Arabidopsis thaliana: one gene and its partners. The protein of the gene in region 2 interacts with the protein of the main gene of each other region in a biochemical or structural test. Each region holds a gene or a part of one and is shown on either strand. Other genes may lie near its edges. The genes, in order: HDA6, HTA2 and PRMT11.

The links.
Region 1: of the proteins of HTA2 (region 2) and HDA6, one has a biochemical effect on the other in vitro, tested with the Arabidopsis thaliana proteins (one study listed by BioGRID).
Region 3: of the proteins of HTA2 (region 2) and PRMT11, one has a biochemical effect on the other in vitro, tested with the Arabidopsis thaliana proteins (one study listed by BioGRID).

The regions. Positions count from the first base shown.
Region 1 is NC_003076.8:25,311,632-25,323,263, forward strand, and holds HDA6 (histone deacetylase 6), read right to left. Parts: upstream 6,717-11,632; 5' UTR 6,597-6,716; coding exon 6,057-6,596; intron 5,640-6,056; coding exon 5,199-5,639; intron 5,105-5,198; coding exon 4,962-5,104; intron 4,704-4,961; coding exon 4,613-4,703; intron 4,516-4,612; coding exon 4,385-4,515; intron 4,273-4,384; coding exon 4,203-4,272; 3' UTR 3,875-4,202; downstream 1-3,874. Other genes in the region: AT5G63100 (S-adenosyl-L-methionine-dependent methyltransferases superfamily protein), read right to left, coding at 2,803-3,792; AT5G63120 (P-loop containing nucleoside triphosphate hydrolases superfamily protein), read right to left, coding at 7,336-7,454, 7,550-7,783, 8,306-8,532, 8,633-8,718, 8,823-8,915, 9,084-9,238, 9,323-9,484, 9,576-9,755 and 2 more; AT5G63130 (Octicosapeptide/Phox/Bem1p family protein), read left to right, coding at 11,559-11,632. UniProt on the Arabidopsis thaliana protein: Responsible for the deacetylation of lysine residues on the N-terminal part of the core histones (H2A, H2B, H3 and H4). Might remove acetyl residues only from specific targets, such as rDNA repeats or complex transgenes.
Region 2 is NC_003075.7:13,630,835-13,641,092, reverse strand, and holds HTA2 (histone H2A 2), read left to right. Parts: upstream 1-2,657; 5' UTR 2,658-2,767; coding exon 2,768-2,956; intron 2,957-3,371; coding exon 3,372-3,578; 3' UTR 3,579-3,857; downstream 3,858-10,258. Other genes in the region: AT4G27240 (zinc finger (C2H2 type) family protein), read right to left, coding at 1-87, 273-933; AT4G27220 (NB-ARC domain-containing disease resistance protein), read left to right, coding at 4,357-7,140. UniProt on the Arabidopsis thaliana protein: Core component of nucleosome. Nucleosomes wrap and compact DNA into chromatin, limiting DNA accessibility to the cellular machineries which require DNA as a template.
Region 3 is NC_003075.7:14,487,885-14,498,886, reverse strand, and holds PRMT11 (arginine methyltransferase 11), read right to left. Parts: upstream 7,266-11,002; 5' UTR 7,149-7,265; coding exon 6,911-7,148; intron 6,816-6,910; coding exon 6,805-6,815; intron 6,683-6,804; coding exon 6,527-6,682; intron 6,431-6,526; coding exon 6,367-6,430; intron 6,287-6,366; coding exon 6,144-6,286; intron 6,054-6,143; coding exon 5,966-6,053; intron 5,859-5,965; coding exon 5,743-5,858; intron 5,653-5,742; coding exon 5,502-5,652; intron 5,341-5,501; coding exon 5,135-5,340; 3' UTR 4,886-5,134; downstream 1-4,885. Other genes in the region: LpxA (bacterial transferase hexapeptide repeat-containing protein), read right to left, coding at 63-155, 264-372, 468-592, 845-924, 1,028-1,112; AT4G29530 (Pyridoxal phosphate phosphatase-related protein), read right to left, coding at 1,577-1,852, 2,085-2,286, 2,375-2,496, 2,586-2,723; AT4G29520 (nucleophosmin), read left to right, coding at 3,230-3,439, 3,530-3,640, 3,800-3,868, 3,978-4,109, 4,222-4,299, 4,390-4,521, 4,643-4,831; AT4G29490 (Metallopeptidase M24 family protein), read right to left, coding at 7,566-7,667, 7,777-7,920, 8,007-8,075, 8,172-8,277, 8,358-8,411, 8,606-8,676, 8,818-8,859, 9,019-9,102 and 8 more. UniProt on the Arabidopsis thaliana protein: Methylates (mono and asymmetric dimethylation) the guanidino nitrogens of arginyl residues present in a glycine and arginine-rich domain. Type I arginine methyltransferase active on both histones and non-histone proteins.

The DNA of each region.
Region 1 (11,632 bases), on a different chromosome or scaffold from region 2:
GGAAATCAGTAAAAGTCAAGCGATTTCATGTGAACGATCAAGTCAAGTTTAAATAGGTTTTGTAAAATCAGAACTTTTGTAATGGAAAATAAACTATGAGGGGGTCCGAAGATTTTTGAAGCTATAGCTAGCTAGGGTTAGTATCATACAACAGTTACTTGTGTTAGATTATATATTATTGGAAGTGACAACCGATTGAGACATTTTTCATAATGTCTTCTTCTTTTTATTTCGCACCAATTCTTGGTCTAATGTAGAATTCAAATGGTTCAATATTGAAGATATATTAGACTGGCAAAATTCAAATGCAAATGTAGATCATAAATAGTTACCTAATGGAAAAGTAAATGAGATAATTTTCTTATTACTATCAGAAAATTGTGGTAAATTAACCTTTTGAATATTTTCAAGATCATTATTTGTTGGTCTAAGTTATGATGGTGGTTAGTGGTGGGAACTTAGTAATTTACTAAAGTGAAGCATCTATAGGCTTTATCACCAAACTAATGTCTTCATATTTTTCTTAAGATATTAATTTTGTGACTAATATATATCGGGATTAGGGTTCGAAAATAGAGGTCCTATTCTTTTCTAAAAGAGGAAACTAGTCTCGTACTTGGAAAGTAGAGCTTCTCTCTCGTTATGATACAAAAATTGACTGATTATTCAAAGTTTTCAATGTTATTGATTGCGCATTCTGATATGATAGATAATAAGTAACTATATCGAATAAGTTGAAAGTTGTTTGGAGAGCTATGATATGGTTTATTCGTTCCGTCCGACGTTGTAAATTCAACACTAAGCCTACATATTACAGAAGAAACCATAACAAAGTTTACCATCAAAAGATTAAAGTAATCGATTAGAATGGGTATTGATCTATATATATAGCCCTTCAATATATATAGAGAGGTTGCATATAAAATGATACAAATAGAGAGGTGGGGGTATGAAGTGTTATAAAGGGTTTGCAGAGAGAAAGAGAGAGAGAGGGAATATGGGTCCTCCTCACACATATGATCTACTAAAACTAGACTAGTACCTAGTTTGTCCCTCGAATTTTATTTTTCTTCTTGTAATTTAATTAAGTCAGTGTGACTCTAAGAATCTATAGAAACCACATTTTATATATATGGTCTCATTTGAAACAACACACACATAAGAGATAATGTTGAATTAATGAATGTGCATGTGCTGATTATGGAAGGGTAAAGTTAGAGGTATATATGGGAGGTCAATGATGCAACTTGGAGGAATAGTTTTGTGAATATGTCCTTTTGTTTTCTTGTTTGTTTTTATATATGTAGAATCGAATAACAAAATAGACAACAATCATGAATATGAAACACATATAGCAAAGGAAAAATTAGGAGAGGTAGAATTTAAACTGAAAACTCCTAATACGGAAGTTTAGTGTATTCCTCATACAATAAAAATAAACAAATTTAATAGAAATGGATAGAGATTTTATTCTCCCTCGGGATTGCTTATTGCTGCGTAACCACGTGTTGAGTCAAATAAAGTCAACAACCCTTACAGTAATTATAAATTTCGTTTACTATTATATGAATACGATCATGAAAATGTTGTATTTATGCTAAAATATATCAATGGCATATCCAATTTATTTCACAGTTTATCGACACTCCAACATGGTGGCACTGGTTTCGCGCTCTCTAATGTTCAACATGGTTTTTTTTTTTTTTTTTTAACTTTTGTAATTTCAATTTACGATAACAGTTTAAAAAAAAAAAGAAATTTAAAGACGAAATAGCTATGGGTTCTAACTTCTAAGTTAAATGATGAGATTCCGAATAGTTGCCCTATCAAGTATTATAAGAGTGATAGGCATTGGAATGATATAGAGATTTTTTTTATAACTTTCAATCTTTCATGACTTCACACTTTAGTCTATATTCTCTAACTACTCTACAATTTTAAAAAGTGAAAAAGACAATTAGAAAATAAACCTGTGGTGTTTATATGCTCTAGTGATACTATATACCCAACTACTGTAATTTGTATCCTATGGGCGAAAAGCCTACGTTAAGAAATAAGCATGCGTTTGATTTAATATCTCTACAATTATTCAACTTTTATTAGCATGTTTAATGGTAATTTAGGGCTAGGGACTATATAGTCTATATCTTACAGATGTAATATATTGATTACCAGGTACAGATCAAGAACTTGCGCTTAGCTGTCTATAGTTTGAGATGATAAATGAACTAAAAAAAATGCAAATGAATCATTAATCATCTTCATAAATAAAAATCATCTGTTAAGTGTAAACACAAACAATTCTTATTTTTTTTACCTAATGCGTTGGAAACAATCAAGAGAGCAAAATGATGATGTCAAAGAAAGAATGTGGACTGTAATGCTTTTGCCTTGTGATAAAGGTTCAATGGCTTATAACCTAACCACTGTCTATATCTTCTCCTTCAGAGTATGAACTGCCAGAACACCAAAGAAGATGAGAGACACAATTTTCGATTTGGATTAAACAGAGCGAGACAAAGATCATTGTCGAATTTAGGTTTAATAATACCAGAACAAATCATACATAACAGTAATGAGTAATCTCAAATTCTCAATCCCTCTGAAAGAACTAGACAACCTTAATATTCATCACCAATAAAGACACGATGACCAAGCAATAATTTGTACACTTGTAACAAACACTCTCTGAGACAGAACAAGTTTTGTGTATTAGCTAATCAGGTTTCATCATAGCTTGAATTCCAAACACATTGCAGCATCCATCACAAAAACTGATTATCAACCAATATCATCTAAAGACTAATATCTCAAGCAGAATTCTCTATAAGGTATCCACATATCAACATAGCTTCTCAATTCACTACGCGGTAATCTCTTCTTCCACGCATCAAGATCCGGTAAATCACCCGTTAAAGCTACCGAGCTATCATTCCCATTCCCAAGCGTTAGAACAAATAGCTTATCTCCAAAAACCTGACTCATCACTCTCAACGTTTCCTCCATAACCAAAGCTCCATCTCTATCTGAATCCTCAGCTTCCACACATTTACCTCCAACATTCACCATAATCCTCCCTCTATATCTCAACCTAGATTTCAAATCCTCCCACACTTGAGGATCTTGAAGCTCTTTGATCACACTCCCTTTACTAAACAAATCCACTAAAATACCCGAAAACCCGGTTTTAACACTAGCGTTCAAAGCATCACCAATGTTGATAAAAATCCTATCTTTATGATCTCTTTCGAGCTTAGAGAGACCAAAGAACTCTCTACCAACGTCAATCACGGAAGGGTCAAGTTCCCATCCATGGACAGCGATCTCAGGAGGATAAAGCTCAAGAATCAATCTAGCTGTTGAACCAGCTCCGAATCCGAGAATACCAATTGGTCCGGGAGGTATAATCGGAGGCAGAGTAGCGAAAACGTCGAAGTAACTATCGGTTAAGGTTTTAAGAAGGAAAGAGATGCTATGGATGTTACCGGGATTATCGAGAAGGAGGAGACGAGAACCAGCGAGTGGGTGATTGGTTTTTCGTGAAACTTCGATGACTCTGATGTAATTGTGACGGGATTTGAATTTGGCGATGGTTTTGACGTCCTCTGCTGGGATTCCGTTATCGTCGGCGGAAGTTTTGTTGCGGTGAGAGTCGGTTCGGATAAAGATTGGATTTTGCGGAGGTTTTGGCCGGAGATTGAGAGTTAAAGGAGGAGAAGAGAGGTTTAGAAATTGACGAGAAATGTGAAGTGGAGGTCGGAGGTATTGAAGAGACACAAGCTCCCTGGCCATGCCTGTTCTTAGTTACCGGGAAAATTTCGATGAATTTGGGTGATGATGAGACTTCAGTGGTTTGTTTAAATCCGTTCGGTTTAGTAACAGCTTCAATGGTTTAATTTTAGGGTCTATTGCAATCGGTTTTCTTCGGTTTGGTAACAACAACTTCGGAGAAAGTAAAAAAAAAAGAAGAAGTAAAAGCCCATATTTTTTTTAAAAAGTTTCTTTGCATTTTTCACATATTCTGATTTTCTAACTTGGGCCAAAATACTAGTCAGTTGTCACTGTTCTAATCAATGCAGCGTTTTCACAGAACTCAAAAGGTTGCTGAAAAAACATCAAAGAATCATTCATTCCCCTAACTTGTTTCTTAAATCTGCCGACATTATCATATGGCAAAAGAGACACCAAACCATCAAGCTGGTTTAAGACGATGGAGGATTCACGTCTGGCTCTGGGTTATCGTCATCCATTTCATCTTCACCGGTAGAGTCCCTGTAGATTTTAAGAGACATCAATTAAATTATTTATCTCCTGTTAAGAAGTTAGACAATGAGGATCAATTCAAGTGTTGGTAGATTTGAGTAGGAGGAAGGTTTTTAATTACCTGTCCGTAGTTGCGCCACCACGACATGAGTAACCATGAAGAGGTTTATCATCATCGTCACTGTCTGATTCATAAGTCGCAGTTCCACTCCAGATGCGAGGTTTTGGTCTTGTCTCCATGTCATCTTCCGGCTAAGGATTTGAGATAGCAGATTTAATAAGTTGGTAGTCAATAGGACAGAACGCAACTAAAAACATCAAAGAGAGAAATGGATGACTGAAAAATTACCTCGTCCAAAACTCGATTGACTGGTGGTGTGTGCTGAAACTGGACGCTAGGTGCGTGTATTAGTCCCGAAAGTTGTTCCAGCAACGTGTTCCTGAAATTTCAAAAAGTAACTTTCTCTAAGTTCAATATATCCCATTGACAAGGCTAAGAAGGTAAGCTACTGAACATGTAAAGCTTTCGTTAACTATTTGGAACCGGCACAAAGATAAACTCATATGTTACATACAGAATTACAATCTCGAGGGAGCATCATTAGCATGTTAAAATTACTAAATTAGAGTGGACTAGCTAGAAGTTCAGTGGCAACTGAAGTACAATGACCATAAAAATGGAAAGTAGGAGATATTACCTTATCCTCTCCATATCTTTGGGCGTGTTTAAATTCTCCATAGGACTTGGGTCGACATGAAGCGTATAATCTGGGCCGAAATACTCAAAATACTCATTGTAAGGGAGTTTGTTGTCCGGCTCTACTCCAACAGCAACTGCAGTCTGCGATGAGGCAACAGAAACAAACACTTTCAAGAACAAAAACCTATATGATTATCAAAAAACATAGAAGAACTGCAAAGGAGATGGAAAAGACCTCATAACACCAGCAACGGGCAACATTTCGAATAGTATACCCTCCACCACCCAACACCATGAGAGGAACGTTGTAAGATCTTAAGAACCGAAGGCAATCAGCGTGACCCTTGACTGATAAGTTGAAGCAACCCAACCGATCACCACTTAAGGAGTCAGCACCACACTGAAGAACAACTGCCTCTGGCTGATACACTTCCATAACCTTCTGGATAAGAGGTCTAAACAAGCTGCGGAAACTTTCATCGTCCATACCATCGTTTAGTGGAACATTTAGAGCATAGTATTTCCCTTTTTCAGCGCCAACATCTCTTATGTGACCAGTTCCTGGGAAAAAGTCCCCAAATTTGTGGAAAGAAACAGTCATAACTCTATCAGTGGTGTAAAACGCTTCTTCCACTCCATCTCCATGGTGGACATCAATATCTATGTAGAGAACCCGCTGCAAACAAAATTTGATGAAAGCATTAAGATGTAAGCAATGGAAACATCGTTCCACACTCAATCAACATTTTGAATGATGCTATCAGAATACATTAACAAAGCAACGGAATCCTAATTAGAGAAACTTAAAGAACCAGACGATGAAAACAAAGAGGCAATGTAGAAAACCATTCTCAAACAAATCAACATCCTTATCAGAAACACCTGATGCACTTGACCTAACATGAGATTCTAAAGGTAATATGCAGTTTAGGAACATGAAAGGATCAAAGCTCATTCGATAATCACACAAGGCTTCAAGGTTTCAGGTAGATTTAAGAAAAACCACTCAAGATAAGCTTAAACCCTAAAAATTTCAGAAGAACATGAAGAAGTTCTCTATGATGAGATCATAAAGAAGGAATGGAGCATTTACCTTAAACATCTTGAGCAACTCCAGAATCCCTAGCACGATGTCGTTTACATAGCAAAACCCAGAAGCCTCGCTTTTCTTAGCATGGTGAAGCCCACCGCCCCAATTGATAGCGATATCAGCGTCCTGTCTGTTTAATTTGACGGCAGCACCAATAGAACCTCCGGCGGAAGCACGGCAAAAATCAAAAAGTCCGTCGAAGACAGGACAATCCTCACCGACATTGAATCGCCTTAGGTTTCGTGCAGCGGAAGGATCGCCCATAGATTCCGGCGAAACGGAAGCGAGGAAGTCAACATACTCCGGCGAATGGAATCGGCCGATATCGGAGGCGTCAGCGAGGCTAGGGCGACTGATTTCTAAGCGACGGTGGAGGTGATAGTGAATGATTAGGCTATGAGCCATACGGATCCGGTGAGGCTTCATCGGGTGGCCTTGACCGTAGTAGTAGTCTCCGATCGTCGGCTCGTAGAAGTAACTGACTCGCCGCTTACGTCCGTCGGGTCCCGACGGCAGAGAGATGCCGCTTTCGTCTGCCTCCATCTCCGTCTCTCACTCAGAATCTCTCTCTCACTCAGAGTCTCTCTCTATTCCCAAGTTTTACTCAGAGCAAAATTTGTGTCAACAATGCCTGAGAAAGTCATTACTAGGAGTTGTGGGCACAGCTTATATATACACGCACATTAATGATTACTTACATTATTATCTTTGCGTTAAAAATTTAATTTTAATAATTACTGAATGTTAAACTAACGATCGATTATATAATTCCAAATTCGATTCAAACATAGCGAATTATTTTTAACTTGTTTTCCTAATGGTAGACAATGTTAGACAAATAAATGTAAAGGGTTTTTTAGCTAAGTATGATCTATTTACACATTTCACCTTAAGGATTCGTAACTAGATGTTGTTGGGAAAAAAGAGAAGATATACATGTTCTAGATGTTATAGATGCTTACATTTGTCTAAATTCTATTCGCAATACTTGAATCTCCCAACCTAATAATCCACATCCGATTTTTAAAAACAAGTTTCATTACAGTGTTACGGTTGACTTGAGAGTAAAGTAGTAAAGTGTATTTAGTTGATAGAATTAAGAAAAAGGCAAAATGTTTAGAAATATCATGAAGAAGAAGAAGAAGAAGCAGCGAAATCAGCTAAATAGTTATATAGTAAATGTTTGTTCTCTACGACAAAGAACTTCTAGTCGAAACCAAACGCTGATCATCATCATCATAATTAAAGGTTTTCTCATAGAATCAAAATGATGGGATTCTCTTTACCAAGTCCTCTTTCCACCGTGAGGTACAAAGTTTGAAGTCGATCTTGACCGTTTATCTCCAAACCCACCACCACGTCCTCCTCCTCTTGGCCTGAAGTTTCTTCCACCACCTGAACCTGAACAAATCAACAAAATTGAATCAGATCCTCGTACCAAAATTTAGCAAGATTGATTGAACTCATCAAATGAGAGAAGAGAAATGAGGTTTCACCTCCATAACCAGAACCAGATGATCGGACTAGTGCGGAGAGAGTAGGAGGTACAACTTGACCAGCTTCTTGAAGGATCTTGACAAGCTCTCTCGCAAACTTAGCATTGTCATGTGTGAAGAATGTAAAGGCCATTCCTTTAGCTCCTGCACGCCCGGTTCGACCAATCCTATGGATGTAATCCTCCAATGTATTTGGGAAATCATAATTAACCACACATTTAATGTCCTTCACATCTGTAAAACAAAACAAAAGAAGAAAGAAGGAACACAGTTGAGAAGTAAATCATAGACTGAGATGAAATGCAGGAAGAAGAACAGAAATTTCTTTGTGTAAATGAGTTTGGTGTTTAAAGCCTAGCTAAGGAGAGGATAGAGAACAAGAACCCCTTATCCCTACAACTGCAGATCTGGAAAGATCAAGAAACTAAGAGCAACACATTTTTCCCAAGTAAATGTGCCCACCTTAACTTGCAGGGATAAGGAGTGTTTGGGACGGCGTTATAACACTATTAATGCATGCAGGTGTCAGTCGCCCAGGCTGCTCAAAAACCAATCAGCTCCATGCCCGGGAGATGGATGCAGGAAACAAATTCTTCAAAGAAGCTCCTTTTTTCTTTCTATGTGCTTTTTTCCCTAATACCAGAGGAAACTGTGGAAAGCGGCAGCCAGGCGACTTTTTTTATTATCTTTAAAACCCCAAGAAAACGAAATGCTCTAAGTATAATCTCTCCTATTGTGTATCACAGTTAATCCTACCAAGTCCCCTTGCTGCTACATCAGTGGCAGTCATTATCGGGCTTCGTCCACTCTTAAATTCTGCCAAGACTCGGTCTCTTTCCGATTGGGTCTTGTCACCATGTATGGCAAGAGCTGGCCATCCGTCCATTCTCAATTGTCTAGTCACTTGATCACACCCTCTCTTTGTCTCCACAAAAATTAGGATTTTACTCCCATCCATTAACTGTTTAAGTAGTGTAAGGAGCCTATCAAACGAGAAAAAAGGCATAAGTATCATATCATATAAGAAGGCAAATAAATATATATATAAATCGTTTCTTATCTAATGACAGAAAAATTAAGAACCTGTTGTATTTCTCTGGCGTCGGTACAATCTCGATTACTTGGTTAATAGACTGGTTAGCTTTTAGATCTGTTGATCCAATAATGGCCTACAAAATAACAACTGTTTTCAGTGCACAACATAAAACATCCCCTACTTTATTCAACAACAGTATACTCAATCCTAATAAGTTAAACTAAATAGCAAGTAAACCTTATATGGATCTCGTAGAAACTGCCTGGCAAGAGTTTCAACCTCTCGTGGCCATGTTGCACTCCAAAGAAGTGTTTGTCTATCAGGTCGGATCTGTGAAAAATAAGGAACAATCTCAAGTTCTGAACAAAAGCCGTGATGGTTCTTATTTAGCAACAGAACAATAAACTGGGAAGATAAAATCTATCGACTAATAATGTTGGTCAACCACCCTTTCCTTAAAGACACTACATGATAGCTTTGGAGAAAGTACAAACATACCTGAGATACAATCTTTCTAATTTGGGGTTCAAATCCCATGTCTAACATTCTGTCAGCCTCATCCAGTACAAGGTAAGTCACTCTCTTCAAATTAGTGTGTTGACATTCCAACATATCAATCAAACGACCAGGTGTAGCAATTACAATCTCAACACCTGACAAGCCAATCATGATTCATAAACTTTGATGTTCCATCCAAGAACCAGACATGAAAACTACACTATTAAAAAATAAAATACCTCTTCTAAGATCACGAATCTGAGGTCCTTTAGGAGCACCACCATAGATACAAGTACTTCTAACACCAGACCTCAACCCGAATTTCCTTGATTCCTCTTGAATCTGAACAGCTAGTTCTCTTGTGGGAGCTAATATTAACACAATGGGGCCATCATCCTGACCTATATTACACCCCAACAATGCAAATAAAAAAGTTGCCGGAAAAATGAATGCAGCTTAAATCAGAATATCACATAGTGCTGTAATACTCACCTAATCGAGGTTGTGCACTAACGTGAACCAATGCTGGTAACAAGTAAGCCAATGTCTTACCAGAGCCAGTCTCAGCAATACCAATCAAATCCCTACCCTTCAACGCCATCGGCCATCCCTGAGCTTGTATAGGTGTTGGCTCAGTAAATCCCAATTTAGCAATTGCTTCAAGAATGTTATCTAACAGATAAAAGGAACCATTAAACTAAGAACCCAAATTAGATATAAATGAACTGGAAACTCTATGACCAATCCAATCAAAATACCTGGAAAGTTAGCATCTTGGAACATCTTCATCGGCTTAGGAACATCACGACCTTCAACGGATATATCCCTCTCGGTTCTGTACATTGCAACATCCTGCTCTGTCATAGCTTGCACAGTGGGACTCTCCACATAGAAATTCTTCTCAAAATGTACAAGATTCCCAAAATTCTGCTTCGGAAGAGAAACACTATCTAGCTCTCTTTTACTCGATCCGCCACGTCCTCCTCCTCCTCCCCAATTCCCTCCGCCGTTTCTATCGCCGTATTGACCATATCCACCTCTTCCACCACCGCGGCCAACAGAGAAACCGCCACTAGGTGGCTGGAAAGATGGGTACCGATTATAGCCGGAATTATCACCGGCCATTACCGGAGATGGTCCATATCCTCCACCACCACCAGTGTACCGTGGGTTGTATGGTGCGGCGGAAGGATCCATCGGCTGAGACGAACCAACTGGGGCGCTAAAGTAACACAGAGAAGATAAGTGTTACAGATCGAAGGAAACAAAAACGAAGAAATTGGTCGATTGGTTTCACTTACCCAGAGCGTTGGCGATACGAATTTGGATCAGCAAATCTACGATCATACGAGCTCATTGTAACTTAAGATGGTTATGGTTTTTGATCTCTCGCTCTCTCGCGTAAATTCTACTACGTAACCTTGGAAACGAATTGATGCTACAGAAGGAAGATAGTGCAAGGAAGACGACGAAAAGCCGCAAAAGGAACAAAAAGCTTAGATTTTTTTTTTGATTCGTTTTGGACAGTAAAATTCCCAAATTAGTAACCCTAATTTGTCCCACCATTTTTCTGTTCTTTTTATTGCGCGAATTTAATTAATTTCCTTTATTTTGTTGGTAATCAGATATGGGCCATGACTAACCACTTAATGGGCTACAAATTGGACCCAAACAATTGTTTAACTTAAATTATTGGAGGTTTTGTGATGGGGGAGTCTATTGCTTTAAACATTTTGCCAACAGTGTCGAATCAAATTTGGAAAATCTTAAAGTTGCGATGGGATTTTTCAGACATACCATCTCATGAGTCATGTGACTACACCAATCCTAGTCATAATACATATTTTCTGGAATAATACCATATACTGTATGTTATTTTCTAACTAGTGAAAAAGTATACATTTGACTTGACCCATAATGCACAGTATTTATAAAATCGAATCATTAACATTACATGGCCATAAGGTCATACTTGACATATTTATAATTTCAAACATAATAATGTTCTTGCAGCAAAAAAAATAATAAAAAAACAAAATCATGTTCAGAGCAATCAGTAAAATTGATGGTAATTAACAATAACATTAACATGGAAGAGACTGCCAAGAGGAAGGTACAAATCAGATTCAGCATTCAATATTTGATTAAAATTTTATGACTAGTTTTCTTTGATGACCAAACGTCTATAATGATGAGCGACTTTTAAGAAAGAAGATTTCTTCAAAATGGAATCAATTAAACAAAAGAATATTCCATTGTTGGAAATAACAGAATTGTCCAAAATGCCCATAGAAGATCCAAGGAATTTTCTATTTGCCCATACGCGTAATATCCCACCATGACATCACTCCTTCCCTATAAAACCCATCCATCTGCAACCTTTCTTCTTGGTTTAAGACACCAAAAACAAACACTCAATTATAAAAAGCTTCCCTCTTCTCTCCCAAATCTTCAAAAATTCAAAAAAAACTAACAATGGTAGCCGTTGATTATACCGAGAAGAACAGTGGAAGCAGTCTCAAGTTTCTATGCAGTTACGGTGGCAGAAT
Region 2 (10,258 bases):
CTCCTTGATTCTCTGTCTTTAACCAGCTTGTTCTGCAGATTATCTCCACTATTCTCCTCGACGAGTCTCCTTCCATTAGCTCAGTCACTGAAAATTTGGGTTACCATTAAGAAACTCTGTAACCTAATTGTGAAATTCGAAATTGAAATTTACAAACTTTGGGAACAACTTTGCTAAAAAGTAAGAAACTTTGAAATTCGAAGATGAAAGTTATGAACTTTGCTATAAAGTAAGGAACTTTAAAATTCAAAGACGAAGTTTGGGAAATTTACCGGCGTGTTTGGTTAGATGATGAGCTTCTGCAGCTTCGAGTTTGCTAAATTTCTCGCCGCATTTATGGCAAGAAACAGAGGAATTGTCTCCGTTAATGGCGGCTTCTCTATCATTCTCTCTTCTGCTCTGGTGAAACCCTAATCCTTCTCTATCTAAAGAAGAAGCCTTTCTCGAAGTTTGGCTACGGCGTGAAGAAGAGTAATTGACCGGCGTCCCTGGTCTAAGATTCCCGACGAATTCTGTTGCTCCGGCGGCGGTGATCTTGAGCTCGCAGGTGGAGTTGCTAAAGATTACATCGTGAGTAATGGGATTGAGAAACTCGCTGCTTCCTATAGAACGAGGGCTAGAGCAAAGCGGCTTCTCTAAATGCCGTTGGTTTCCATGGATTACGTCTTTAAGATTGGCTATGGATCTTGAACAACCGGACCTGCCGCCGACCCCGCCGCCGGAGGAGGTTGTTGTTCTCTTAGTGGATATGGGAGCTAGCTCTTTTTTGGATCTCGGAATGTGGACATCGGAGACATCAGATTTGCAGGGGAGAGATTTCTTAAGTGAAAACCAAACACTGGGTAGCTTTTTTTTCTTTTGAGTATCGGTGTTTTCTCTCTGTATCGTCTTCTTCTTCTTCTTCTTCTCGCTTCTTGTGCTTGAAGCTTCCATTTTTCTATCCTCTCTAGTCTCTTTTGTCTTCTAAGACAATAAGAACGAAAGAAGCAAAAAAAAAGAAAAAAACGTAACTTAACAAGAAATTTTTTGAAATGAATGGTAGCGAGTTTCTATTTTTTTGAATTGGAGAACCTTCTTCTTCTGGCAATTTTCTAGGGAGAGAGATAGTGAAGAGAATGGGAAAAATAATTATTGAGTCGTCAGAGCTCTGAAGATAAGAAGATACACAAAATTTGAAAATTTAAATGAAAACAAGAAAATACTCCCAAAAGTGTTTTTAGACTCAAAATAATGTTAGTTTTCTTCATCATTGTTAAATTCATATGTATTGGATACATGGGTTGATGGTAATATGAAAGGTCTTGAATATGGACAGCACAACGCAAAGTACAACAAACCAAGTGGAATAAGGTCGGAATCAATGTGGTTTAACGTAAAATGGATGGAACAAATAGTGTGAAATGGATATAAAGAAAATTTGAATGGTGTTCGTATTTACTTCTTATGAATTTTTCTTTCATGTTGTTCGATACGTCAAGACAATAGTTATTGTACTTAGGTAACTTAGCTATCTATGGTACTATTTGATTCACGAGGCCACAGTAGATTTGGTTGTCTTCAGACTAAAAATACAAGTATGTACAATCTCACATTTCCCAAATCTAATGCTTCCAATATGTTTTGCTTTTGCAGTTTGGATTGTATTTAAATCTTCATATACTGTCGGACAACGATACCTCCACAATATGTGTTTGTCCTTCGAACAAGCATTCGAGTCGAGAAACAAAAAAAAAGATTGGAAGTATGACTTGTCAATACCAACAAGTATTTTGTATTAAAAATTCTCATTTCTACAGTAACCTAAAAAGCTGTCTGTTTTCATAAATTTCCAATTACTTTTTCCTTTTCTTTCTAACACGAATAATGATTTTTTTAGGTCATGAAACGAATAATGACTATGTTGTGATTTTCAAGCATTAAAGACATTTCAACATCCTACACACTAAAGAACAATTCAAGTATTGTACATCCACCGATCTTTTGTTAACATCATAACCATCCCACCACGTTCACGTCACTCATTTTTTCAAATGTCTCTCATTGGGTTTACTTTCTTTGTTATCCATCTTCGGAGAAATTAGCTTGACATTAATACTTTTTTGACAAATTGTAACGTTTTCTCCGGAGATGGATAACAACGAAAGTAACGTTGTCTAAATTAATATTACAACTTTTGAGTTCTTACTAACTGAGAAGATTTGTGGCTTTTCAGCCACCACAATATGTCATACAACTTGCAACTGTTATTATCCAAATTTAAACCCACATAAAGAATACGTCTAAAAAGCAAACAATAATCATTACAACACTTAGTAAGTTATAACTTCTCCCTAACTTCTTTGAAATTTTGATAAAAAGGAAAATACATATGTACAAGAAGTGAAGAAACAATTTATTTGGGCCGAACAGTGTTAAATTTTGGGCCAGATAACGTTAAAATAAAAAGGAGTATTTCTATTTAACAAGCCCAATATAGCCCATATAACAATCCATTGAAATCATCGGAGAACCAAAAAAAGGACAAAGCAGGTGGGCGCACGAATCTCAAATCACGTCCCTTAAACTTGTAACAATCTGACGGTGTAGATTATCGATCCATGCAGTGTCATATCATTGGTCAGAAATATTTTCTATCTCGCCACTATATTAATCATCATGGCGGGTTTCGCTGATACTCATTATTGTTATTTTTGACAGAGAGAAATTTCTCAGTTACGCTTCATCCTCCTCTAAGAGATCTTTTTTCTATCTTGGGTAGTAGAGAGAAATGGCGGGTCGGGGAAAACAACTTGGATCTGGTGCAGCGAAGAAGTCTACTTCTCGTAGTAGCAAGGCTGGGCTTCAATTCCCTGTTGGTCGTATCGCTCGATTTTTGAAAGCCGGTAAGTACGCCGAGCGTGTTGGTGCCGGAGCTCCGGTCTATCTCGCCGCCGTTCTTGAATACCTCGCCGCTGAGGTAATCAGTCTCTTCTATTTATCACCTGTTTAATTTACTCTTTTTACCGAATTAAATGGTTATAGCTTGCATCTAGGGTTCTGGATTTTAGATTTTCTTACCCCTTTCGTTAAATTATGCGAAATTTGGAATATTTTAGAATGCATTAGTTCCTTAGTTTGTTTTTTTCTTGGGAAAAATTGTCCATTTTTTTTGTGTAGTTTTGAGCTCAATTTGTGTTTCTTTGTGCTCATCATGCTTATCGAAATTAGGGTTAAATTTGTTCCTTACTACTTTGAGTTATCATAGTTGGCACTGATTGATACTGTCAATTGTGTTCTCAAATTCGAAAAATGTTGTTGTTCACTTAGTTTTGTCTTTGGATATGTGAACATGTCTGCTTGGGAACTGAATTTGGTGCGCTCACTTTCTATAGGTACTTGAGCTTGCTGGGAACGCAGCGAGAGACAACAAGAAGACCCGTATAGTTCCACGACACATTCAGCTTGCTGTGAGGAATGATGAGGAGCTAAGCAAGTTGCTTGGAGATGTGACAATTGCTAATGGAGGAGTGATGCCTAACATCCACAATCTCCTTCTCCCCAAGAAGGCTGGTTCATCTAAGCCTACTGAAGAAGATTAGGTTCATTACGAAGATAGGGAAAGCTGGAAACTGGTTGATATCAGATAATGCTTAGGATTGTTTTTTTTTTCATTTGCTTTTCCTCTGCAGCAATGGAAGCTGTGTGGTTGTACTAGTTGTTAAGGTTACCTTTGTTTCACTTTATGTGAATATATGAAGAAATTGTTCTATTTCAGTCTTGACTCCACTTCTTTAGCATTGTTCACTGATTCATTTGTTGTTCCTGAAAGTCAATTTAAATTCCTTCGATAAGCTACACGAAACTGCACACATAGTCACATGTAACTTGTTTTTAAACTTTTTGTTTTGTTTTGTTTTTGGTTGAAAACTCGAGAAAAAAAGAATCAGTAGACCCATAATCACAGAAAAGTCAAGCCACCAAGCGATTCGACATAGACAGTGGAGAAGTGACGAGATTGAGAGAATCGAGGCGAGAGAGAGAGAGAGACAGGGACGATTCGGTTTAGAGCTCTCGTATGAGGTATATTTCAATTTCGTTTTCGGCGATATCTTGTGTCGCAAATGTCAATAAAACGAAATTTAGTAGATTGTTGATGAAAGTCATTGGCTATAGACTCTGTTATCCTAAAGAAGATTAGTCCATAGACTCTGTTACCCCTCCAGGTTTTAACCAAGACCCCCCCTACCTTGATCTCTGAATGCCAGTTTGATGCGTCATGGCATGGAAATGATCTACTTAGCAGTCATGGATCTCGTAATAGCCTTTTCTCGCATGTAAACTTATTGGTTCCTGAATGGCTATGAAATAATCTTTGGCATGTGTTCGAGAGCCCATAGAGTCATGTTCAGATCGAACGCAAGAGCGTTGAATAGAGCATTGGAGAGACTAAAGAATGTGCAGACCAAGGTGAATGAAGCTCTTAAGAGATCAGGGATCCAAGAGAAATCTTTGGAGCGAAAGCTGAGGATATGGCTAAGAAAGGTCGAAGAGAATGTGCCTCTTGGTGAGCTGATTTTGGAGAAACGCTCTTCATGTGCTATATGGCTGAGCGACAAAGATGTGGAAATTCTTGAGAAAGTCAAAAGGCTGGAGGAGCAAGGCCAAGATCTCATAAAAAAGATTTCAGTCAACAAGTCATCTAGAGAAATAGTTGAACGGGTCTTGGGGCCTTCATTTCATCCTCAAAAAACAGCACTGGAGATGTTGGATAAGCTAAAGGATTGTTTGAAGAAGAAGAATGTTCAAAAGATTGGTGTTTGGGGTATGGGCGGTGTTGGGAAGACAACACTTGTCAGGACGCTTAACAATGATCTCTTGAAATATGCTGCTACTCAACAGTTTGCTTTGGTAATTTGGGTGACAGTGTCGAAAGATTTTGACTTAAAAAGGGTCCAGATGGACATAGCCAAGAGACTGGGCAAGCGATTTACAAGGGAGCAAATGAATCAGCTAGGCTTAACTATTTGTGAGAGGCTAATAGATTTGAAAAATTTCCTCCTTATTCTTGACGATGTTTGGCACCCCATTGATTTGGACCAATTGGGTATTCCATTAGCATTGGAACGATCGAAGGATTCAAAGGTTGTTCTAACTTCAAGAAGACTAGAAGTGTGCCAACAGATGATGACTAATGAAAACATCAAAGTTGCATGCTTACAAGAGAAAGAAGCTTGGGAATTGTTTTGCCACAACGTTGGAGAAGTAGCAAACTCTGATAATGTTAAGCCCATTGCAAAGGATGTATCCCATGAATGTTGTGGATTGCCTTTGGCTATCATCACAATCGGGCGGACCCTGCGCGGAAAACCTCAAGTCGAGGTATGGAAACACACCTTGAATTTGCTAAAGAGATCAGCACCTTCTATCGATACTGAAGAAAAGATCTTTGGTACTTTAAAACTCAGCTACGACTTTCTTCAAGACAATATGAAAAGTTGCTTCCTTTTCTGTGCTTTATTTCCGGAGGACTACTCTATCAAAGTAAGTGAACTAATAATGTACTGGGTCGCGGAAGGATTGTTGGATGGACAACATCATTACGAGGACATGATGAATGAGGGAGTTACTTTGGTTGAGAGATTGAAGGACTCTTGCCTGTTAGAAGATGGTGATAGTTGTGATACAGTTAAAATGCACGATGTTGTGCGTGACTTTGCTATATGGTTCATGTCTTCTCAGGGTGAAGGATTTCATTCTCTTGTCATGGCCGGGAGAGGTCTAATAGAGTTTCCACAAGATAAGTTTGTTTCTTCAGTCCAGAGAGTTTCTTTGATGGCTAATAAGCTAGAAAGACTACCTAATAATGTGATAGAGGGTGTGGAAACATTAGTTTTACTACTACAAGGGAATTCCCATGTTAAGGAAGTTCCTAATGGGTTCTTACAAGCATTCCCAAACCTTAGAATCTTGGATCTCAGTGGTGTTCGTATAAGAACATTGCCAGACTCCTTTTCAAATCTTCATAGTTTGCGGTCTCTTGTGTTAAGAAACTGTAAAAAATTGAGGAACCTGCCTTCGCTAGAATCCCTTGTTAAACTCCAATTTCTTGATCTACATGAATCTGCCATTAGGGAACTTCCGAGAGGTCTTGAAGCGTTGAGCAGCTTAAGATACATTTGCGTTTCCAACACATATCAACTCCAGAGCATTCCGGCTGGAACTATTCTCCAGTTATCAAGTTTGGAGGTTCTAGACATGGCGGGGAGTGCTTATAGTTGGGGCATCAAGGGAGAAGAAAGAGAAGGACAAGCAACACTTGACGAGGTTACATGCCTCCCTCATTTGCAGTTTCTTGCCATTAAGCTCCTCGATGTCTTGTCCTTTTCCTATGAATTTGATTCTTTGACCAAAAGGCTAACAAAGTTCCAGTTTCTATTTTCACCTATTCGATCGGTTTCACCTCCTGGCACCGGTGAAGGTTGCCTAGCAATCAGTGATGTCAATGTCTCAAATGCATCTATTGGGTGGCTACTGCAACATGTGACATCACTAGACTTGAACTATTGTGAGGGTCTTAATGGTATGTTCGAGAACTTGGTAACGAAGAGCAAAAGTAGCTTTGTTGCCATGAAAGCACTGTCCATTCACTATTTTCCCAGCTTAAGCCTTGCGAGTGGTTGTGAGTCCCAACTGGATCTCTTTCCAAATCTCGAGGAACTTTCTTTGGACAATGTCAATCTGGAAAGCATCGGAGAACTTAATGGTTTCCTCGGGATGAGACTTCAGAAACTAAAACTACTTCAAGTCTCTGGCTGCCGACAGCTTAAACGTCTTTTCTCAGACCAAATCTTAGCAGGTACTCTGCCAAACCTACAAGAGATAAAGGTTGTCTCATGTTTGAGGTTGGAGGAGCTCTTCAATTTTTCTTCAGTGCCAGTTGATTTTTGTGCTGAGTCTTTGCTACCTAAGCTAACTGTCATAAAACTCAAATATCTTCCACAATTAAGGAGCTTATGCAACGACAGAGTGGTGCTCGAATCCCTGGAACACTTAGAAGTCGAATCTTGTGAAAGTTTAAAGAACTTACCCTTTGTCCCCGGCAATACTGGTATGATCAACGAACAAATGGCGTGGGAATACATGTCTAGGACTCTAGGGTAAAAGATGATCCAGAATGGGACCTCCAAATTTTCTTCCAAAAAAAAAAAGAATGGGACCTCCAACCTTGCGACATTAAAAGTGAGAATTAGTTACATTTTTTTTTTACCTATGAAACAAATGGTTTAACCTGTTTATTTATATTACTTACCCAATTTGGATTCTCTTTATGGAAGGTTGTTTGGGATGGCTTTGGTTTCTTATGAACAGAACTGACATGTGGTGTTTTCCAGGGACAAATACACAATGAAGTGGCAACTGCAGACAAGAATGTGATTTGAAAAGTTTTTTTCTTCTTCTTTCCAAAAACTGGCCTTATATACTACCTCGGTGTGATCAGATTCTTCAACCACTAAACACACAAAATCTGTTGATTCTTCTGCGTGCTTCAAGTGCAACTGTGAAAGGTCAGCTGACATGAAGTACTTCAATTTTTTATACATCCTGTTTGGCTTTGTATTCTGGTTGCAGACATACTCCCGTTCGTTTTTGTTTTTTTGTTTTTTTTTGTTTCTGTTTTTGTGTTCTTATGGAATTATTGTAAATTTTCTTACATCCTATAACATTGCTTTGCTCCTAAATGAGAAAACAGCCACTGAATCTGGTAATAAGGAATATATCTTAGAGAAAGTAAAAGTTTCCTATTTTTAAAAACTGATTTTCTTCGGGATGAGTATCCAGTCATCCATTAGCCAATTAGGTCATCCAAGACGCTTGCTTAGCTCCTTGTCGTTTCTCACTGCAGGCTGAATAGGTCTTAGGTACAAACACATTTTTGCTTGCTTTTTGCTCCTTCTCATACTCCAAATGGAATTTGTATAATGAATTGTTGTTATATCTACACATTAGCAAAGACCTCAAAAATTCAGGCATACTTTATTTACACTATCTAGCTTCTCTAATTCAATTCTTTTAGACATCTTTGAGATCATCCAGTCCAGATTAGAAACAGAGAAATGAGAATGACACCTTTGTGTGTGGAAGACATAATATAGATGGCAAAATCTCGGGATATGTTCATACATGTCATTATAATACATGCCTTTGGCCATCTAAGGTGCGGCAAGGTTGCGAAAATCGCTTCCTGTGGCCGATATATTTTTTGGAGTGAATAATCAAGAAATTTCATAAACAATTATTAGATAGTCAAGAACTTGTTGCCAAGAGTATGCCCAAAATTCATGACACGGTGATCAACATGGAAATTTTCAACGTTCACCCTTGAGTAAAGAAAGAGTTTACATGTTGTCAGGGTAAACTTTAACTTACTCAAATAATCATTTTCCCTTTTTTCACCATTATTTTTTCATACAAGTGGAAAACAGTGTGATCAATATGTACGAAAGAGTTTGATAAAAAAGAAGACTTAACCATAAATAAATAAATAAAATTCCAGTGGAACTTAAAATACCAATGCACAAGGTCCAACCATCAAAGTGGAGCCTTTCTTTTTTACTTGTTTTTAGTTTACTAAATCAAACCTTCAAAAGTCGTGGTTGCATGATGTATAACAATGGAGTCCTATATTAGTGATCCTTTCATCCATTTCCGCTAGCAAAAGTGGAGTTGTAGTTCAATGGATATTCTCCTCACGCCATGGAATCTTAATGGTAAGTACAGTTCTATACTGGTTACATTTGTTTTAAGTCTCTTTAATTTTCGAAATACAAAAATTGTTTTTTTTTACATTTTCTGAATATAATTTTCAATGGAATATGAAAAACAATGTTTTTTCAACATATGTTACGGACAATACGGTACGGTATTTCGCGATTGTGTCAAACTTTATAAAAACAGAATTTTGTGTATTAAAATGAAGGGAATGAATTTTAGATAATGTATTATTCAAAATACCACAAAGTGATTTACTATGATATTTTACCTCCGCCTTTGATGGCGGTTCTAGTTGAAGGCAAAATCAATACTCTGTTTTCATTGATAAAGCTTAAAAGGTTACAAGACATGATAAACTTGTTTATATATAATGTCTGAGACTTGCTAAAACCCTAGGAAGACAAGACAGGTGGCAGACATCAAGCTGGGATCTCTGAATCAAGGGTCAAAAACCGATTCTCCAACTTGATGTTGAATGCCTTTTCCGTACAAGCATTAGGTGAAGTTGTGCCAGCTCTGTTCTTGTCGTAACTTGGTGAAACTTCTGGAGTTTCTGTCTTTATCGCAGAAGACCGTTGCTTCCAAACTTGAGTTGTGGGCTTCTTGGGCCTGCATTGGGCTTTCATTTGCTTCTTTGCTGAGTTTGATGAAACGACAAAGTTTTGTCGAGGCTTCACTTGAATGGTGTTGATAGTCCCCCTCAAACTTGGTGTGGGCGAAAGAGTAACACCGAGTTTGCCTCGCAAATGTATGAACGCTTCATAAGGAAGTGACTTCGTGAAGATATCTGCAATTTGCTCAGAGCCAGGAATATGTTTCACCACCAAAGCTTTCAGAGCCACTCGTTCCCTGACAAAATGAAAATCAATGTCAAAGTGCTTTGTTCTGGCATGGAATGCCGGATTAGCAGTGAGATAAACGGCAGACAAATTGTCACAGAACAGCTCCGGTGTGTCGGGAAGAGGTATTCTAAGCTCGCGGAGAAGTGTGCTTAGCCAAAGAATTTCTGATGCGGCATCACTCAAGGATTTGTATTCTGCTTCAGTTGAGCTGCGTGATACAGTCGGATGCTTCTTTGAGGACCATGAGACAAGATTTGTGCCCATGAATGTACATAGACCACCAACTGATCTTCGCGTTTGCTTACAGTTTCCCCAATCGCTGTCACTGTAAGCCTGCAAGAGAGTAGGAGAGTCACGACTGTAGGAGATTCCCATTGTAATGGTGCCTTTAATGTATCTGAGAATCCGCTTGAGAAGATGAAAGTCTGATATAGTTGGCTGGTGCATCTTTTGGCACACAAAGTTGACTGCGAACTGTATATCAGGTCTTGTCAATGTGAGATACTGGAGCTTTCCTGCAATACTCCTGAAGTAAGTCGGATCACTGAAGAGTTCTTCTTGATGTGGCACTCTGTCAAGTTGAACAGGAAGAGGAGTTGGCAGAGGAGTGCAGTGTTCCATAGACGCTGCAATCAGGAGGTCCTCAGCATATTTCTGCTGAGACA
Region 3 (11,002 bases), 850 kb from region 2:
ACTCAAAACATGATACAACCTATTGAAACTTCAATGATATTAGACAATGGTCAGCTACATACCGTTTTATCACTGGGCTTTGATGACCTGTGAATCGAGCAGAACTCCCTGATTTCATTGTTGTTACCAATGCAAAGAAAGCATTCATCTCCATGCTAAAAGAAGAAAACACAGCATTAGTTCTTGACATATATCGGTTCCTAGTCTATAACCAGGGTGAGATTAGGACGATAACAGGTGATAAGATAACGTCTCTCACACACCTTGTACTTCAAGTCTTGACATTTAACACCAACCACGGCGTGGTGACCGATAATGTTATTGCATCCTATGAATGTATAGCCAGGAAGCTCATCGCCAACAACAGCACCACTGGCTGACAAAAATTCAAGACAGACACATAGCAAAGATCAATCAATCAATCAATAAATTACAGAGTATAATCTAAGAGATGGAAGGGTTTTTACGTCATGAGAACACAAGATTCCCCCAACTCTGTGTTTCCAAAGACATGGCTAGAAGGATAGAGTTTGCAGCCATTGCCTAGCTTCACTGAAGAGCCAATAGTACAGTATGGACCAACTGAAACTCCCTGTTAGCCAATGTTTCTGGTTAACCACAGTCTAGTAAGCTCAAATCTCAAACAAAGCATCACACTTTGACCAGGTTAGATCAAATTCACCATCTTGTTCTACTAATTTGAAAATTGCAAGTGTTAAGCTGTTTCTAGTCTTCAAATGAGCAGAGAAGGGTTCAATTTCTGAGTAAAGTCCAAATTCACCAAATATAAAGGTTCTTAAAACAACTCAGAGACCTCAAAGCAATGTCAGTAAATGAATCAAACCTTGCCAATCACAGCATTTGGGTGGACGACAGCACTCGGGTGTATTAAGACTTCAGAATCCCTCGAATCTTCACGAGAATCTGCTCCAAACCACACAATTATTCACAGCTTAGAGTAGAGATACAAATTCAGCTAAACATGCCCACATAAAGCAGAAGCGGGAATAGAGAAAGACAGATTTACAGGAGAGGCTAGAGGAGAGTCTTCGGATAGTGGAACTGACGAGAGGAGAGAGAAGCTTCTCGCGAGCTTTAAGGAGAGAAATCATGGCGGGCTACGTCGACCAAAACCACACCCCTTCCAATTGCATACATGGTGTTCGACGAAATGCCTCAAAGAACGATATAGTGATGAAATTTCACACGTGCCAAGGATCGATCACGTGACTTAGTTTTTTACTGTTGGTATATAAATTTCTTTTGAAGTGATAGTTCCAACTTTTTGCAAAAAATTAACTTCTTTTTTGGATTTTCAGTTTCAATCAATATCTGATACATTTTTTCTTTTGATATACACTACCAAATATAAAATCGAATGAGCTTTAGCTAAATTCCTTCATTTTTAATGTAGCTTTTGAGTTTAAACGCTGGTAGCAATTAATTTCCATTACCATGACACAAAGCAATGCCTTTATCAATTTAGTGAAGAGGAACAAACAAATGTTCTTTCATCACCTTTGCATTAATCAGTAACACTTATTATCGACTCTAAACAAAGCCTAGTGTTATTGTGTTATGAATCTTCTTCTTTTGTTATTGTGCTGACAAGTTGCAGCAGGATTCTCTGTTGTTCCTCTGCACTACTCCATTCCTTGACTTCTGCTTTGATCAGTAAGGGATTGTCTGAGATCTTCTTCCATAGCGGATAATTCGTTCTCGGCATCACAAAATCACACTCTCTCAGCTTCAATGTCGGGCAGAAGTCACCTCCTCCATCTCCAAGGTAGATAAACCTTCTTGGAATTTGATCATTGGAAGAAGAAGCACGTAAATGATCCATTACTAAACCCTGAAAGAACCAATGAAGTTTCACTAGTCAAAATCCTACAAAACTGAATCCAATCTAAGGGTAATGGATATAGCAATCTCTATTTGTACAACGCTAGAATTGAAGATTTCAGCTTTTGGACTCGGAACTAATCCCAAATTCTAATGGACAAGATCATAAACAAATTGCAAGTCTAACTACAAGGCAAACATGGAGGGCTTCTTATATAGTTAAAAAAGATAGATAAGAGTACCTTGCATAGATTTGAAGGGCAAAGATTGCAGCTATGTGGAGGCAATGCATCACTATGATAAGGCAAGATCCGCAAGTTCCCATTATCATCAAGAGAGGTTGGATTTGTGTAAATCTCAGAAAAGCAATCCACCAAATCATGGTGCTCTAGTATCTTCTCAATGAAAAACTGATTTGCATCACTCACAATCTTTAAATCACATCTGCAAATTTGAACCAAACAAACAACACTCAAGACTCAACCAAAAAAAGAAACTGAGACCATCTAAGTGAACTGATCATTGTTCATACCCTGAAGATTTAGCTGATTTGATAGCTTCAATAATATGAGAATCAATAGGCATTTTCTTCAAACAAGATTTAATGTCATCAATCGATCTACCTTGTGATTGTAGCTCCATCATCATCCTATCCTTTTCAAAATCCAATTCAAATTTTGATTTCAATATGCGTAAATCATAAGAAGAGGATGAGATTTTGGATGCTTTAATAAATGAAATACCATAAGACGATTCCATGGTAAAGTGAAACGGAGCTGATGGAAGATCTCTGTGAGTCCCATTTCAGTGACAACCCAATTGTCACTATCTCCGTCGATCAAAGTCCGATCGAAATCAAATAATATCACGATTTTTGCCATTTTCTGAGATATAAACACAACGCCGGAGCTCTGCTTCTCGCCGGAGCTGCAAATCACTTCTCCTCTTTCTTAATTGGTCGACGGCAACATCCAATTGTCCGACGCCACTTTTCGTCTTGCCAATGACAAGTTTACCACTCTCCATCCTATTAATTACATTTGAGCCATCCAGTCGTATTAATTAATGGGCCTTACTGCTTGGCCCATTTTGTGCTGTGATCCGAATAATTTACCACACATACAAAAAAACAAAACAGTAATTATCTAACATGGTCGAGAAAGTGGACCCAAGTTCGTGTCAGCATTCCAACAGCCAATAAGATTGCAGGAAACACGTTAACAAGCGTAACATCGATTCCACTTCATGAACACGGCACAGGATCAAAACCCAGAGAATTCTTTAAACCCATGATCTTCTATATAGAACCCGTGAAAGAATTTTATTAAAGTCCCAAACTTTACCATATTTAAGAGAGATAGAGAAAGCTTCTCTGCTTCTGACTTCAATGGTTGTGATGAATCGAGTTCTGGTAGCTCTTACATTAGCTCTGCTAGCTTCGTCGGCGTTATTACCTGTTTCCGATGCCGCGAAGAAACCTTCTTCGACGCCGAGAAAGGAGGATGTTCCGTATATAAAGTGTCAGGTTTGCGAGAAACTATCTTCTCGGTTACACCAGCTAGTGAAGGAGAAGCAACAACAGATCTCTCCCAAAAAGGTTGAGTTTTTAATGTATTTTTAGTGATCTTTCTAGTTTGATTTGATGTGTTTCTGCTTACTGAATTTGCTGGTGGGAAATAAATGGTAGATCTCGGAGTATGAGATCATTGAGATTGCTGAAAATGTCTGCAATTTGAAGAAAGAGGAAGCTGATTGGATGCTTAAGATTGACATTGTTGAGAAAGGCGATAATCTTGTGGTAATTGAGATTTCTCTACCTCTCTCCCTTCTTGTTTGATCCGAAAATATTACATTGTAGCTTTGAGATTGAAATAAGTGGAAACTTGTACATTTGTTGTTGAATCTCAATGCTGGTGACTCTGTTAACAATTTGTTTGTTTTGACTTTGGGTTCGTAGCTGGTTGAGCAACAAGAAGAAGGGATGTGTAATTCCAAGTGCAAGACGATCGAGAATGCTTGTCAAAAGGTTAGCTTAATGTGGTCTTTCAGCTGTTAATACAATTGGATTTGCATTTCTTTGAGTATTTAGAGTTGGATAAATGTGATTTTCATCTGTTTGTTGGTGTGTGTTGCAGGTCATTGGTTACTCAGACACTGATGTTGCAGAGTATATTTACAAGTCTAAGCCTGATCTTGTTTCACTGGTGAATCATCTATGCAAAGATTTGACCGATGCTTGCAGCAAGAAACCTCCTCCTGTTCCCAAGGTACCTTTTATTGAAACTGAAATGTGGATCTTTGGTGATTTGTGTCCGTGAATGTTCTTATGTTGTTGCTGTGGAGATGACGTTTTGATAAGTGTTTCTTTATCTTTGCCAGGATCGGGTTCCTGGAGAACCATTTGTTGCAAAACCATCAAAAGATGCTGAAATGGACAAGATTTTGAGATCTATGCAGGTAATCTTTGATGACGTCAATCAATACCACTAAGCAAGGAATGCATATCCATGGAATGATCTTAAGCTTACTCTTTACCGCTATGTTCAGGGTATGCCAGGAGCACCTGGCATGAAGGTATACTCTAGAGAAGATATAGAGAAGGGGAATATCGGTAATGAAGATGATGATGGCGACGATGATGAAGATGAGGAAGAAGATGATAAGTTTCCCAAGAACTTGGTACATAAAGTTTCTTTTTTCAAATGATCAAATCTTTGGGTTAAACTTTCATGAAGAAGAAGGAAACCGAGATCTTTCTTTCTTTTCTCTAAAACACTTGTATGGTTTTGTTGGTTTTTAGGGAAAAGTTTTGAAAGAGAAAGAGAGTAAAACAGAAGAATTGAAGAAGACAATCACTAAGGAGTTCAAGAAGAAAGGTGAGGCTCTGAAGAGACATGCACAGAAAGTGTCAAACCGGGTCCGGAGATGGTGGAAAGGACTTGGATCGTCTTCTTCAAAGAAACCTAAATCCGGAAAGTCTGAGCTATAGAAACAGTTTTAAACTGGTTTTGTTTAATGTACTCTTTCTTCACACTTGCTTTTTGTAGATTTCCTTTAGTTTCTATAATCTTTTGGAGAGAATATTGAAAAGTGTTGACAGACATCAGTTTTGTGATCAACAAGGAACATACACGAGATGGTTTAGAGCAAAATCATTAATTTAACTTGAGATGAAGCAAATGTTGCAATGTGAAGCAAATGGAAAGTTGTAATCTGGAGAAAAAGAAATATAAAAACTAAATCACAATATGAGAATTGTATCTTCTGAAGTTCTGCTTCTTATGAGAGAACTTTAACGCATTTTGTAGTGTTGGGTCCTTGAGATCTTGCAATGCTGGCCATTCAAAGAATAGCTTAGCTTTATGTCAATGTCTCGAGGATTCTTCTTGTTAGGAGAAACGGACATAGTTCCAGTGATTGTCTCACCCTCACATATGGTTAACACATCTTCTAGATACAGAACTGTTTGTTTCCAGTGTGTAGCTCGGGATTTCGGTCCTGCATGTGACACATATGGTTGTTCAGTGCAAGTTTCAGATCATAATGAAACAATGTGCTATGTTTAAACTTCAAACCAAGTTATTCGATAACATGCCATTTCTTTGCACCAAAAAAAAATAGAATACTCAGAGCTAGCACAAGATTGTAGAGATCTGAACCTGTTGAGAAGCCCAGCAGCTTGTGGCACATGGTAAACGATACATCAAAGTAGGCTACAAGGGCGTGGATGTAGTCATTGCGTTGTGCAACAAGCTTAAAGGGAGCTGTGAAGGAAGCATCACCAGAGGACATCTTTGAGATATCCATCGTCTGTTACAAACCCATAAGAATAATGAAATGAACATTAGTCACACAGGTAAAGAGATACTACTAATCATCATCATATGATATCTTATATACCTTTAGAAGCCTACTATCGGTGACGATTTGGTTTTGGTCGACTGTGTCAACAAGTGGTTCCATCATAGCTTTTTTCTTAATACATGACATGTCAAAACCATACACACTGTTCCAAACTGTAGCAGAACAACAAAAAAGAAATTAAAAATGCAAATCTCAACAGACATCAAGATCAATGTTGGAAAAAAAAAGACGAGAAAACGTGTCAAATCAATGCACTCACATTCGATTTTGTCTTCTTTGTACTCTGAATCCTCTATGGCTGTAAGATGCAGAGAGGCTTTGTCTGGTAGCACAACTCCACCTTCAACCTATCCATAAAAACACAGGACCAAGAAGATTTCATTTAATTGGTTTTGGTAACTAAGAATCTCATGTAACAAGGTGGAGCTGTAACTTACAAGCCATTTATCACGAGCATACAAGACACTGTCCAACATATTTTCAAACAACAAAAAGTAACCCATCCATTCCGATATAATCACATCCACTTTAGGAGTGGGAAGCTCTATCTCCTCAATCTTCCCTTTCAATACCGTAATAACTGCATCGATAAAACAAAAATCATGTTACAGAACAGAAGTTATCGATTTGAATACAACTCAACATGGATAAAAGACCTACCATCAGAAAATCCATTAGCTTTAACAATCTCCTTTGCCATGTCAGCCATTTGAGAACACTCAACCTATTAAGAAACATCCTCAATCAAATCAGTCAAAATTGAAAAAGATTCTTCTTACTTATGATTATTAAAAAAGAGACTGAAAGATTGAAGACATACAGCGTAGACATGAGCAGCTCCTGCCTTGGCACAGAACAGAGACAAAATTCCGGTTCCAGCTCCAACATCAAGAACAATTTTGTCCTTGATAAGAAACTTGTTCTGATAAATAACATTCTGATAAGTCTTTGTTCTCACAACATCCTTCAACATCTCCTGTCAGATACCATTCTCAATTCAGTCATCAGATATATACAGAAGAAAACACAATGAATTACATTAAACTTCTAGAACAAAAACTATAACAAAAAAAACTGAGCTTTGTCCTCGATACTTACTTCATGGATTCCTGCAAAAAAAAGTGGAACCAAATTCAACTCTTAGTAAGAATTCATAACCAAAGAGCACAAGGAAAAAAATAGAACTTGAAAAAAGGGAATTTACCAAAGTGAGAGTAAGAATCGAAGTAGTAATCGGCACTGGTGGTATCATCAGTTACTTCAGCGGTGTCGGCGCTCTCTCCGGCGTCGAACATGGACTCATCTTGGGGAGTTTCCTCGCCGGCAACACCAGACCCTTCAGCAACTTCGTCTTCATCAGCATCTTCAAAGCGTATCTTCGTGTTCTGATTTGGTTCAAAGCTGATGAACTCATTCTCGTCGTGGTTACTGTTCTTAGTCATCTTTTTTTCTCGGTCTCACACAAGAAGGAAGAGAGGAAAGGGTTTTTGGGGATAGAGACGAAGTCGCGAGATTAGGGTTTTATGAAGACACGAAGCTTTTAATTTGAAGTTTTTTTTTTCTCTCTTGTTAATGAATTTTATATTAGAACTAAAATTGTGCTCAAGATATTTTCTGTACCGGTTCGGTTTTCGTCGACAAGCACCAAACCGGTTAGATTTTATCTGTCCACTTGAACATTCAATCGGTTTAATATCCAACCACACAAACAAGACACTGAAACAAAATAAACTACATGTACAAGATTAGTAAAACACAGGCAATTTTTCCTTATTCCCATTAACAAAAATAAAGGTTGTATTATTGAGTTTTACTTATCAAGTTTTTAATTTCCATAAGCTGCCTAAGAGTAGCTACGATCACTTGGTCGGTGGCCAAGGCCCTCCAGCCATCACAGCTTCGATCTCCCATGTCTCTCGTGGAACATTCGTCATGTTCTTGCAGCCATTAGCAGTAACGACCTAAAAAAGAAATCACACATATACAACAAAATGAGATTATTGTATATGACATTACTCTTGAGAGTGTTTTAACTTGTAGACGTTGTAGTGAATATGAATTTGACATTACCAAATCGCTTTCGATTCTGACACCTCCGAAATTTCTGAATCTCTCTATTGTTTCACGGTTGAAGAACTTAGAGGTTGTTGCGTTTGCCATGGCTGGGAACAGCAATGCCTTGATGAAATAGCATCCTGGTTCCACCGTTATTACCTGACATAAATACGATTAGGACAATGAACAGAGACGATAAATGAGAAGAACCAAAAGCATTTCTACTTGAAACAATCGGCCCTTACCATTCCTTCAAGTAGGTCTCTTGCAGTTCGTAATGACTTCAATCCAGGTTTCTTTGGTCTCTCCACTCCCTAAAAGAATGAAAGATCAAAGCAACGGGTAAGACACAGGGACTGTGGTTTTATTTACGTGATGATACTATTGGGTTGAAAAAAGATTTGATGTACCTTTGGGTAGCCACCAGTATCGTGAGTGTCGATGCCCATGAAGTGACCTAGTCCATGAGGCATGAAAACAGCACCCAAGCGCTGTACCATCATGTCATCTACATCACTAGGAACAGAGAACGAAACCATGAGAATGAATTAACCTTTAGAGAAGAGTATTGAAATGTCTAACACAGAGAGAATTACCCAGTGAGTATGGACCCCTTCTTCAGTGACTCAAGGATGATTTTTTCAGCTAACCTGTACATTAATTTGCTTCAGTCGACAAAGAAAGCTGAATAACCATATGGAGATGTATTTCAATTTATCTCCCTAACAAGAGGATAAATCAAAATGGACCAAAGCAACTGAGTTTACGCTTACATTGTCAATCCCAATTACTGCATCTGCATGCATAGTAGAACAGAGCTATATAGCATCTCAGTAAGACTTACTTGTGCATATCCACCCAGTTTACTCCTGGCTTCATCGCAGAGATTACAGAATTATGTGCATCCAGAACAGCCTGAAAGGAAGGCAAAATCAGAGAAACTTATTCAGATGTAAAGCTTCAAGAGACTCACCAAACTCTGGATTGTGCGAAGACAAAAAATAGAGCACACATTTCTAATACATCCACGTTGCACCAATCTTGTAAGGCACTTACATTGTAGATTAGACTCTGGTCACTTGTAAATTTACCATTGACCTGCACACCAATTGATAAATATTAGAGACCACTTTCTCTAGATAACTACATTCAGCAAATTATGATGTTCATGTAAACAAGATTAAAAACACAAGTCAATGCGGTGCAAAGACAATTCAGAGGAAAATTAAGAATAGATTTGATGCTAGAAGAACTCACGGGGAATGAGCATGTTATGTCAGACCCATAAAAATGGTATTCAGCACCCATATCAAGCAATGCCAAATCTCCATCTTCAAAAGTCTGCAACAAGTATTAAAACATTTTCAAACAGGGAATAATGAGAGAACTAAAAAAGCGAGGAATGTGTGTTCCCTTTACCCTATCATTTGGAGCCGCAGCATGCCCATAATGAAGAACAGCACTACAAACAATTTAACATCGTTTTGTTAGTTTTTCAGTACAAACACCTGAAAAGGAATATTTCTGCATATTCAGCAATAACAAGATTTATCCACCAAACTTACCTATTATCCCCTGTTGCACAAATGCATGTGTACGAGCAATGCCTACAGCCACCGTACATGTAGCTGTGATGCAAAAACATACTTTCCATCTGATATTCTTTCATGCCCGGTGTGACTTTCCTCATAACCTTAATGTGGATTAAAAAACACATGGTTAAAGTTGGAAAGATGTAAGAGAATTGCAAAAAGAGAAGAAAAAAACTGTCTACATGGAGTGGATAAGAAGAATTGAGGTCAGAAACCTAAGTCGTAAGATGATACAAAAACGACAGATTGTGAACAAGCCAACAGATAAGAAAATCGTTTCATCAATTTATTTCATTCATTGGTCTAAGCATACCATTTAAAAAGACAAACAACAATTCGAGAGAAAACATGTTAGGAAATCAAATTCACACCTCTATATGAGCTTCAGAACTTATATCATTTGCAAACTGTATTAGTTGAAGCTCCAAACTTGATTTAATAACTCGACATTCCGCCAAAATAGGATGTAAAGTAGTCAAATCAGTCTCAAACTTGTCTATCCCCTGAAATAAGACAGGACAACAGTAAAAAGAAATAATTACAAATGAGATTCCAAATATCAGGAAAACAGTACGAGCATCAGAATCCTGAAATTCTAGATCACAAGACATGCGGTAAGATAATTCATCTTCAGCATCAAGACAAGACAAACATAAGACCAAATCTCCAGAGAAAGTGAAGAAGAAAGGATGAAATGTCAAAACCTCAAAGCTGGCAGGTTTTGAGAAGTTACTGCTGTCAGTATTAAGACCATGCAAGAGATACAACAGGGGCTTTCCAGATCCCTTAAATTGTTCATTAAAGACTTGAATAATCTCATCCACATAGAAAACCATGTCAACCATATATGTTTCCTGCAACAAGAAGCACAAACTGCAATCACTATAAACTCACTGAACAAATTAACAAGACTTAAAAAAGTTCAAATATTTACCTTAAAATGCGACAATGGCTTAATCTCTCCCAACCAAACAGCATAATCATCAGGCAACCTTGGAATAAAAAGGATAGATTTCCCACTTCCAATGTCCTTCCAATATCGAAAGTGACTCAATGTCATTGGTTAAGCAACAATCAACATATATAGAATGAAAATGGTGAACGGGTCATATGTTCTTAAGAAATGGAGATATAGCTAGCAAAACTCACAATAGCTCCATAGAAATCTGGCTCTCTGACTCCAAACAAGTAAGCAAAATAACTCTCTTGCCTACAAGTCAGTTCAATATCATCTTATTTCCACTCAATACATTGAACAGATTGAAAGAGAAGAAACCTCGAGATAAAATTTCAAATCAATACCTGAAGAGCTCGGTGTGATCAGTACAGTATCGATTTTTCTCCTCGCCACCCTATCGTCCAGAATCAAGAAAATTACAAACTAAACACAATGAAAGCGAGCTCGGAATCGGATCATCGATACGTGTTGGAAATTATGTATATAAGAGCTAATCAAGGGTACCTGTAGAAGAACAAATCCATCGAGAGAACGATTGGAACTAGATAACTGACGGCGTATTGATTCTAGTAACTTTTTCCGGTTACCGGCGTGGAGTTCCATTGGAATCGGTGGAGGAGACAGAGACGACATGACGACGATGAGCTAGTTTTTTGTTTTTCCGGCAAGGCCTAATAATAAAGCCAAATAT